Drosophila melanogaster: one gene and its partner. The protein of the gene in region 1 interacts with the protein of each later gene in a biochemical or structural test. Each region holds a gene or a part of one and is shown in the gene's direction. Other genes may lie near its edges.

Region 1 (6,281 bases):
CTCTGCCAAGGCTAAGAAGTACTACCTGGTGCTCATGACTGGAGGATCTGCTGAGCTGCCGCAGGCTTTGGGTTAGTTTTAATAATAATAATTATAGAAAACTAATAATTACTTTCACATCATTTTTCTTTGCTTTTGTAGGCTCACCTGAAGAGGAACGTCGTGTAAACTATATAAAGAAACGTGATGCTTGCCGTGAGGCTCGGGGAAAAGCGCCAAAGAAATCCCGCGATTGGATCCTAGCCAAGAAAGAGCGTCGACGTCGCCAGGGGTTGGAAACCCGTCCTGACACAAAGTACACTGCACGCAAGCGCAGCGGCAAATTTTGAATAAAGTTGTTACATTTAAAATTAGTGACAGACCTAATCTCTAATTGCGGCTTTGTCTATATGTTTTAGATCTTGAGTCAGATTAAGGATATTACAATGCCGTTGGATGTTTATATACATATGTATAAGTCCCGCTGCTATTCATCTTAAGTAAAACGGACACATCTTTAATTCACAAAATTATATTGTTTCGAATTTAATTCATTTAACTTAAGTCTATGTACGCTGAAGACTAGAGAATTCTAAGATTGCTTCCCGACTAGTTTTTGTTCTCGCTCTTCTTGATCGCGTCTGTATCGTTCCTTCGCTTTCTGCTTGGGAGTGTCGTAGGAGCTTTCGGCGAGGAACATCAGGTATACGGCCACTCCGGCAAAGATAAAGGCCAGCAGGACCATGTCAGTCTGGCCTGATATTCTGTTGGTCTCCCTTTGCACTTTTATTCGATCGTATTTGGCCTGGGCGGCTTGTCTCCGGTCAAATGATTTACCATAGTGATTTCGCGACCACTCGTCGAAGTCATAGATGGGCGTACGGCCCGCAGAATCAGATACACGCGATTTCTGAAATCGCGACTTGTAAAACTTAGTCTCCGCATCGTCCTCGACTACGGGTTCCGCTACATCGTGGACATCTTGGGCATATTGGGCGCCTGCCGTATGTACGATTCCCTTGTCGTAAAGTCGACGCAGCCGGTAATTTCCCAGAATCTCATAAGCCTGATTGATCTCCCGAAATTTCTTGGCTGCGTTCTCACTTCCTTGGTTCCTGTCCGGATGATAAAGCATCGAGAGCTTATAGTAAGCTGCCTTGATCTCGTTCTGCGTGCACTGACGCCTGATTCCCAGTGCGTCGTAGTGGCTCATCTGGTGGCGTTGACTGAGGTAGAGGCCACGCAGCAGAAGCAGAGGTCGCCACAACATTGGGCTGTGCTGGTACATCTTGGATGTGTTCTTTCGCCCGCTTCACTTGTTTTGGTTTCGTTATATCACATGAAAATTAAAAACAAATCGAATCAGCTGTTTGAACTTGAACTTGTTCACCCTCGCCATCGTTGTTATCGATAGATCGATAGTATTCTGAACCAATGGTGCAGGTACAGCAAAAAATTAGCTGAAAGAGGAAAAAGAGCTTGTAATTGATTAATTTATAAAAGATAGATTTTGAAAATATTTACAGAATAAATGATTTTCAAAAAAGTTTTTACAGATATATCAGAAAAATATTTGTAATCCCTGGCTTAGTTAAAAATTTAAGACTTTAGTAAAGTTGAAATTCGTCAGCTGTTTGGGCTATGATGAAAAAAGCAAAACGTAAGCTCCACGGTTCCAGTCAGCTGTTTGGCCGATTCGCTGCGAATGGCAACTGTTGCAACTATTTTGGTTTGAGTCTTCTCAATTTTTATTTATATATAGAACAGGGCAGCAGCCGGTTCAATAGTCTCACGCAGCGTGCTTGATTTTCCCGCTAAACGCCTGCAACTGTATCTGTGTGTATTCGAGAGCGATCGAGAAGTTTCTGGTGGTCGAAATTTAGGCCAGAAGGCACAAAACCGAACTGAATAGTGAGTCATCCGTTAACAATAAAAAGTTGCAGCTACAGTTTTTGTCTTTTTATACAGAAAATTGTGTAACCATGACAAACACCATCAACAGCGAGGAAGTGTCCGACGCAGGAAGCTACAAAGATAAGGGCAACGAGGCGTTCAAGGCCTCCCGCTGGGAGGAGGCAGTGGAGCACTATGGCAAAGCCATTAAGGCGGGCTCTAAGCACAAGGAGCTGGCGGTTTTCTATAAGAATCGTGCTGCCGCTTATCTGAAGCTAGGAAAGTATGAAAATGCGGTAGAGGACTGCACTGAATCTTTGAAAGCGGCTCCGGGGGATCCCAAGGCACTGTTCCGTAGGGCTCAGGCGTACGAAGCTCTGGAGAAGTTCGAAGAGGCCTACAAAGACGCAACCGCTTTGTTTAAAGCGGATCCCGGCAACAAAACCGTACAGCCCATGCTCCAGAGGCTTCATGTCGTCGTGGAAGAGCGCTCTGCCCGTAATGCCAAGACATCCACAAAAGTCAAGCAGATGATGGATCTTACTTTTGATTTGGCCACGCCCATCGATAAGCGTCGCGCGGCAGCCAATAACCTAGTAGTTTTGGCCAAAGAGCAGACTGGCGCTGAACTGCTTTACAAGGACCACTGCATCGCCAAAGTGGCCTCACTAACAAAGGTGGAAAAGGATCAGGACATTTATGTGAATATGGTGCATTTGGTGGCTGCTCTTTGCGAAAATAGCGTCGAGCGTACAAAGGGCGTTTTAACTGAACTCGGAGTACCGTGGTTCATGAGGGTTCTCGACCAAAAACACGAGAACTGTGTGTCCACCGCCCAGTTTTGCCTACAAACAATATTGAACGCATTGTCTGGGCTTAAGAACAAACCCGATTCGAAGCCGGAGAAGGAGCTGTGCACTAGGAACAACCGGGAAATTGACACTCTCCTAACATGCCTAGTTTATAGTATCACGGATCGCACGATTTCTGGAGCAGCTAGGGATGGCGTTATTGAGCTTATAACCAGGAATGTCCACTACACAGCTCTAGAATGGGCCGAACGCCTGGTTGAGATCAGGGGACTGTGCCGTCTGCTGGATGTGTGCTCCGAACTGGAGGATTATAAGTACGAGAGTGCAATGGATATCACAGGCTCATCATCCACAATTGCATCCGTTTGTCTGGCCCGGATATATGAGAACATGTACTACGATGAAGCTAAGGCACGGTTCACGGACCAGATCGACGAATACATTAAGGACAAGCTTTTGGCGCCTGATATGGAATCCAAGGTGCGGGTCACCGTTGCGATTACTGCCCTGCTTAACGGTCCATTGGATGTGGGCAATCAGGTTGTGGCCAGAGAAGGTGAGTTCTGTTATTGGATTTAGAAAATGGTACTTAATTAATGGTGAAATTTGTAACAGGAATACTGCAGATGATTCTAGCAATGGCTACGACCGACGATGAGTTGCAGCAGCGAGTATCATGTGAGTGCCTAATCGCCGCTTCCTCTAAAAAGGACAAGGCCAAGGCTCTTTGTGAGCAGGGAGTAGATATTTTAAAGCGGCTCTACCACTCCAAGAACGATGGTATTAGAGTACGCGCCCTGGTGGGTCTTTGCAAGCTGGGTAGCTACGGCGGTCAGGACGCGGCCATCCGACCATTTGGCGATGGAGCTGCCCTTAAGCTGGCGGAGGCATGCCGTCGGTTTTTGATCAAACCTGGAAAGGATAAGGATATCCGTCGTTGGGCTGCCGATGGTCTGGCTTATTTAACACTGGATGCTGAATGTAAGGAGAAGCTCATTGAGGATAAGGCTTCCATTCACGCTTTAATGGATTTGGCCCGCGGAGGAAATCAGTCCTGTCTCTATGGTGTGGTCACTACTTTTGTGAATCTGTGCAATGCGTATGAGAAGCAGGAGATGTTGCCTGAGATGATAGAACTTGCCAAGTTTGCTAAGCAACACATACCGGAGGAGCACGAGCTGGACGACGTAGATTTCATCAATAAGCGTATTACTGTGCTGGCAAATGAGGGCATAACAACTGCTCTTTGTGCACTGGCGAAAACTGAAAGCCACAATTCACAGGAGCTGATTGCCAGGGTTTTGAATGCGGTTTGTGGACTGAAAGAGTTGCGAGGAAAAGTGGTTCAAGAAGGCGGCGTTAAGGCGCTGCTTCGTATGGCGCTTGAGGGAACTGAGAAAGGAAAACGCCATGCTACCCAGGCGTTGGCTAGGATTGGCATAACCATTAATCCGGAAGTATCTTTCAGTGGCCAGCGATCGCTTGATGTAATCCGTCCTTTGTTGAACCTTTTGCAACAGGACTGCACAGCGCTGGAGAATTTTGAGTCGCTAATGGCACTCACCAATCTAGCCAGCATGAACGAGAGCGTGCGCCAGAGGATTATCAAGGAGCAGGGGGTCTCCAAGATAGAGTATTATCTGATGGAGGACCATCTGTACCTGACTCGTGCAGCTGCCCAGTGTCTGTGTAATCTGGTTATGAGTGAGGATGTCATTAAAATGTTCGAGGGCAATAACGACCGAGTGAAGTTCTTGGCGCTTCTCTGCGAGGATGAGGACGAGGAGACCGCAACAGCTTGTGCCGGAGCTCTGGCCATTATTACTTCAGTGTCTGTCAAGTGCTGTGAGAAGATCTTGGCCATCGCCAGCTGGCTGGACATTCTGCACACTCTGATCGCCAATCCCAGTCCGGCGGTCCAGCATCGAGGCATTGTGATTATTCTAAACATGATCAATGCTGGAGAGGAGATCGCCAAAAAGCTGTTTGAAACGGACATTATGGAACTGCTGAGCGGTTTGGGGCAGCTGCCCGATGACACGCGTGCCAAGGCCCGAGAGGTGGCCACCCAGTGCCTGGCGGCGGCGGAGCGTTATAGGATCATCGAGCGGTCCGACAACGCGGAAATCCCCGATGTGTTTGCCGAAAATTCGAAAATATCTGAGATTATCGATGATTAAGCGAAATTCGTTTGTAGTGCCTTTTGTTTTTCCTCCATTTCATCTTCTTTACTTTACTCACAGTGTCATCGCGAAATTTAACTTATTTTTCAAAATATCAAATGTACTTAACTGTTTTATAAATATTGTTCGAATTTATTTCGTTTTTAAAGGTAGTTTGTTTTATTCCTTAGTGGGTAATATAATATATTATTTAGTTATTTCATGAATACGCGATTTTTTAATTTAACTAATTTAATACAGACCAAGCCTAATCCAAGCCTAATTGCTGCGGCCTAATGTGATTTGGATTGTAATATGGATGGCCACTAGGATGGCCTAGTGTTTTCCCACCGACTCCATTTTCCCCGGTGCACTGCCTCGGTACGTTTTCTATTCATTGCCACACATTAGTCGCCAGCTCGAGGTAGCTGACTTCCTCTAATGCAGAAGATGCTTCTGATGCGGCAGTGTTGCAGTGTCAGGTAGCCGGGAATTCCGAGCCGAGCATCTCTTCCAGCTGATTGCTCAATCTCAATGAAGTGTGATTAAATAAATAATAGTTGCTTTAATTTAGTTTGGCTCAGCGCAGTGGGAAATGGCCGAGGGTTTCGGTTGCTATGATTCGGTTGCCATGACTTAACGGCATTTATTCCGAAATCCATCCCGCTTTTTGTCTTTGGCCATTTGGCATTCCTTTTCCCGCGATTATTTCGCATTTTCCTCTTCTCCTTAAACCATATACTGTGCTCAATTTGACCAATATAAATAACGTGGTTAGAAGGTAAAGTAATGAGGAAGATGAATTCTTCAGGACCCTTATATGCTAAAGGGATATAAGCTGAAATAAAATATGTTGATGTAAGACCCCAGAAGGAAACAAACTAATGCTTGGCAATATATTTAAAAAATTGGTGTATAAAAACAATTAAGTTAGGGGAATAAACATTTTAAAAAATGGTAAAAAAAGACATTTTAAAAAATGTAAAAAGGATATTTCCGTGGAAATATATTAGCAAATTGAAATTCATTTCTATAGCGTTGTTTAATATTGAAAATCGAGTTTTTCGGCTACTTCATAATAAATGTACACTCTTCTTCCATTTGAGAAATCGATAATAAAGAAAATAATCCCAGACTTAATCCCCAAGAAGCAGAAACTTTCGGTTTCGGTTGTATTTACTTTTTCGGCATTGGTCAAAATGAGACATTTTGTCCTAATTACACAGACGACAGACACAGACCGTGTGGCAAAGAGTTTGCTAAGACTGTGGATCGGAAGCACTGGCTTAGAGCTTCATCGGCTTGATTGGCGACGTACATATGTGCATCTTCACTTTCCATTTAATCTCGGTTTGGTGGCGCGGTGCGGTTCAGTGTGGTGCAACACAGTTGGTGCCGCCCAATTTGTCCCGTGGAAATCGAAAGCCGATTTTCA
Region 2 (4,957 bases), on another chromosome or scaffold:
GCATCTTGACACTAAAATGCAAAAATTGCTTTGCGTCAATGACTCAAAACGAAAATGTTTTTGTGCTTTTCGAACAAAAAATTGGGAGCAGAATATTGGATTCGCTTTTTTCGCATCGAATATCTTAAGGGAGCAAGGGAAGAACCATCTAGAATAATAAAGAAGACCAAAATGTATCGTAACTAAAGGTTTTTTTTATTAATTATTAAATGTTAAATATTAACTTATACCAACTCATTGGCTTTACAAGTACAACAAATAACCCCAAAATAATTTATTGTCAGGTGCTAAATTGTTGTTTGTTGTTCTTGGAATTTGTTTTAAATGCTCAATTTATGTTTTTGTCTTTTTGCCCACAATTCTGCTCGACAATGTCACAGATTTTGTTTCAGAAACTTAGCAAAAAGTATTATAATTTTATATGTGAGAAAAGACTAGAGAGCAGCAAACCCTGCACCGAAAATAAAGGAAAAAAACACTCACACTTGAATGAGAACTGAAATCTTTTTCAAACTATAAATATTCCTCAAAAAATGTTTGAAAGTTGTTTTTGTCCGAATTCATGAGTTGTTTTTTTGCGTATTCTTTTTCCGCTACACAATAATCATTGTTAAATATTGAATATTCAAGACGGACCAACTCATTACGAAAAGTATTTGTCGAAAATACCTTGCAGTGGGTGTATATACATTTATCATATAATTCTTTGCCAAAAATGTTGCACATGAAATTTTGTAATTTTGCTTAAAATTATGAATAATTTCTGTGTCGGAATTTGACATCGTTGTAAGAGGGGAGACTATTTCAATTCTGTTGGCATTTATCATAATTCTCTTTGTCAGCATTATAGATTTGATAAATTCTCGACAAATCGCTACAACACGAATTTCATAATGCACTCGTATTTGCAATCGTATTTGTATTGGATTTTAGCATTGAAACCTAAAGATTTTCGCATCGCATTGCTCTGAAGGACGCCGACTACATTGATTTGATGTGGCATTTCTCTGTCTATCTATCTATATCTAAAGTATCTCTTCAACTATGTGTTTTATTTCGTTTTTTTTGCGTGCATTGCAATTGCTTGCATGTTCTAGCCCATCTATGTTATTTTGAAGTTCACATCATTACTTTTGGCGGACATGTGCTTGCTATGGCCGATCCTTAGGCTAGATAGATCATCAATCATTAACTCAAAGGATCGGGTTTTTTCGTTCTACAACTGAACGATGACCAAACGAATGTTTGTAGCCATTGATAGCATACGATCGGTCTTCTCGAACAGCTGTTTAGCCACTGATCGTAAAGTGATCGCAGATTAGGAGGAAAACCACATAGCGCCGCCTGATCGCAAGCATTCCCCCTGTATTCCACCCACATTGGTGCCAGATCGGATTGGCATTGAGGTGACCAAAAACCAAAACCAGAACAAAAAGCGAAAAATGATCACCGAGAAAAACAAATAAAGATCCCACCATGCCATGCCATACACACATGTGTGCGTCTAGAAATGATATGTGAAATAAGTAAAAAGAAAGCTCCCCTTGGAAAGAGCGAGGGATTCCGGCGGAGAAGAATTGCCTCACGGCGGAAAAGTTGTCATTGAAATGAATTTTACTATTTGACTAATGGGAGAATTGCGAGAGAGCCTACGCAATGGCAATCGTCGGAGAAGGAGCTTTCCGCTCTCGATTCCGCAACGATCCTGATTGCATCATATGCTCACACATATACCATATCCACCATCCCGCAATCCCCCATAGAAATGCCCACTTGCTAGAGAAGAGGAATAGGAATCAGAGCAGCCAAGTGCTAGACCGAAAAAGGGAGCAAGAAAAACCGAAACAGAAACAGCGCCACGCACACCGATCGTCGAATCGAAAAGCTTTCGGGGTCTTACGGGATCCATGGGTATCAAGTTGCCCCGTATAAAAGGCAAGTTTACCGGTTGCACGGTTCAGAACGGCTTTCGAGCGCGTAAGTGCAACACCTTTGATGTGCGATCTCTGATTTTTGGATATTACCACCCAGCAGCAGTAGCGGTAGCAGCAGCATCAGCGGCAGCAGCAACAATTTGACCTTTTGGTCAAAAAGCATAAAACTAAAATAATTATTACTACCTATATATATTTATATATGCAACAAAATCGAGAAATTTAAAAAAGTGTGTGTGTGGTGCTTTAACTACGATCCGAGCGAAAACGGATCTATTAAAACTCTGTGACAATCAGAACAGTGAACCGGAATACCTCGGATTATCGTATCGAATTGGATTACAAATAACAATCTTTTCTTAGGAAGTACATCAGTTACTTAACATAACCTATAGGCGTTAATTTGTTTTCTGAGAAGTATGCAACTATCTTCAACTTCTTGTGTAACAAATCTTTGACTTTCGATCATATCAGCGAAAAAATCTGAAAGTGAAGTAACAAGGATATAAGGAAACTTCTTTCTTACTTTTAGGACTCTCACAAAAAACTAGTTTATCCTTTCTCGCCCAAGAATTTTGGAATAAAAGACTTTCATCGTTCTAAATTTCGACTACTTAAAAAATTCTAAAGCAAATAGATCATTTAAATGTCAGAAAGAGACAGCCAGCTGTTACTTCATCAAATGAAAAATTCGTGTTTCGATGTGAGTTCGAAATGCTGTAATAGCCATTTCGAATTACTGGCGAAATGATTTCATACACAAATACCTGTGTGGCCGAGACATATGCGTATGCATACTATAGAAAATAGATTTAGAATACTCGAATTCGTTGTCGGCTCATATACATGGGCGAAATAATTTCGAATATGTTTTAAAAATAACCAAAGACATTAGAAAGAGATCGCCAATACTTATACATTATGTCTATGTGTGCCATGTGGTAGCATGAGCCAAAAAGCTTCTCGAAATTACGAATTACATATAGACGAATATGTATGTGACTTTAGTTTCGAAATAATTTCGAGAATTTTAAAAATAACGCATTCGTTAAAAGTTCGCGTCAATTCGAATCGAATTTTCGATTGTCGATTTAGTGTGGATTGTCGAAAATCGTTCCGCCTTCGAAGTTTACTGAAAGGAATCATTGCGATCTCGTGAATTGCTTGTATGAGAACACGCCACCATATCGAGATACCTGTTCAAAATATCGAAATCGCGTTCCAAACGGTAGTAGTTACCAGTTGAGTGAGTTGTGGTGACAGTTTAACCTCTCTACATTTGTAATAATAAGCATTGTTTTGGCGTATCAATAGTCTGTAGATTTTTTCACAAAGAAACCTGGAGAAATGTACACAAATATCTAAATGAAAATTGGCGTTACGTAACAAATACCAACGCCCCGAAAATCCGTATATATGCAAAGCATTCTGATATATATATATATAAGTGGTATACATATACATATTCGTATCGGATCCGTGATCTATATTTAGGCGACAACCCACACAATTCACTTGTTGTCTGTTTATAACAAAAACAACAACACAAGCACCGACCAGGCCTAATTAACTTTGAGGTGTGAGATAAAATCAAAGCCACACATAAATAAATATCCGGTTACGGTAACGGGAATTTCGAAAGCGCGAAACGGGAAAAATGTTCATATTTGGAAATCGAAATTAAATTTCGAAATCCTATCCACGCACACACGCGTAGAACTGTTATAGTGTCCGCTATTGCTGCTGCTGTCAAAATGGGTCAAAAGCATAAAATCCATAAAAGAATCAGACTTCGAAACAAAATTCCAAAAATAGTATGCTTTTCTGAGAACCATATAATAAATATTATTTTTCTTTTGTATATTTACAGGGAAGTTTTGGGCTCACGACGCGATTAACAAAGAAATTTTGAAAAGTCCCAATATTATTTTTCGAGTTTTTAAGTTTCTAAACGAAATTTAAGCAAGATGCCGAAGCCAGTCGCAAATCAGGAGGATGAGGATCCCACCCCATACCTGTTCGTGTCTTTGGAGCAAAGGCGTATCGATCAATCGAAACCCTATGACTCGAAGAAGTCTTGCTGGATCCCCGACGAGAAGGAGGGTTATCTCCTTGGTGAGATCAAGGCCACCAAGGGCGATATCGTCTCCGTTGGTCTGCAGGGTGGAGAGGTAAAGTCATCGTCTACACGAGGCTTCAGCATAAAAAAAAAAAAAAAAAAGCTATTGAAGAGTCTTATGGTCGACCTAAAGTGTTAGTCAATTGTTACCCAATGGGAAAATCTTCTTGGTACTACTACTACTACTACAAGAAGGGTTTTTCAATGGATAGCATAAGACTGGGACTTTGTCATGACCTCATACACTTCAATAGCTTATAATGTAGCCACAAAATTAGAATGAAACTATAGATTTCGCCTACATATACGATTAGGTACGAGATATCAAATCCGAGAAGGTGGAAAAAGTCAATCCACCAAAATTCGAAAAAATTGAAGATATGGCCGACATGACCGTGCTTAACACTCCTTGCGTTTTGCACAATCTGCGTCAGCGTTACTATGCTAAGCTCATCTACGTAAGTGTTGTACTGCCAGAAACTCACTAATGTATGGGTATCTCTTCTCTCTCTCTCTCAATCTCAAAAACGAACTGCTAACCCAACGTCTAACCAACAAATGTTGTACAAAAACTAAACATAACCAATCGAACTGAATCCGACAAACCGAACGAAAATGATAAACAGACACGAGACTTAAAGAAAGATCTGCTCCAGCAAGTGAACCCCCCGAAATACGAAAAAGCCGAGGATATGTCCAACTTGACATACCTTAACGATGCCTCTGTGCTCCATAACTTGAGACAGAGATACTACAACAAGCTGATCTACGTAAGTAATTGCCGATCAAGGGTGGCACACAAGTATGCGTTCTATGTTCTTACCCAACCGCTTATCTACCGCCAATCACTCACACTTATGAAAAAAAGAAAAACATCCCAAAATTTTTCAAAATTCGATTAGAG

What was found.
Region 2: the proteins of unc-45 (region 1) and Mhc form a complex in vitro, tested with the Drosophila melanogaster proteins (one study listed by BioGRID).

The regions. Positions count from the first base shown.
Region 1 is NT_033777.3:8,031,641-8,037,921, forward strand, and holds unc-45 (uncoordinated 45), read left to right. Parts: upstream 1-1,660; 5' UTR 1,661-1,890; intron 1,891-1,947; 5' UTR 1,948-1,961; coding exon 1,962-3,240; intron 3,241-3,299; coding exon 3,300-4,864; 3' UTR 4,865-5,763; downstream 5,764-6,281. Other genes in the region: CG10903 (uncharacterized protein), read left to right, coding at 1-71, 142-329; CG11035 (uncharacterized protein), read right to left, coding at 572-1,267.
Region 2 is NT_033779.5:16,764,780-16,769,736, forward strand, and holds the start of Mhc (myosin heavy chain), read left to right. Parts: upstream 1-1,954; 5' UTR 1,955-1,977; intron 1,978-2,146; exon of another isoform or gene 2,147-2,331; intron 2,332-2,997; exon of another isoform or gene 2,998-3,180; intron 3,181-3,804; 5' UTR 3,805-3,901; coding exon 3,902-4,105; intron 4,106-4,367; coding exon of another isoform or gene 4,368-4,511; intron 4,512-4,679; coding exon 4,680-4,823; intron 4,824-4,957. UniProt on the Drosophila melanogaster protein: Muscle contraction.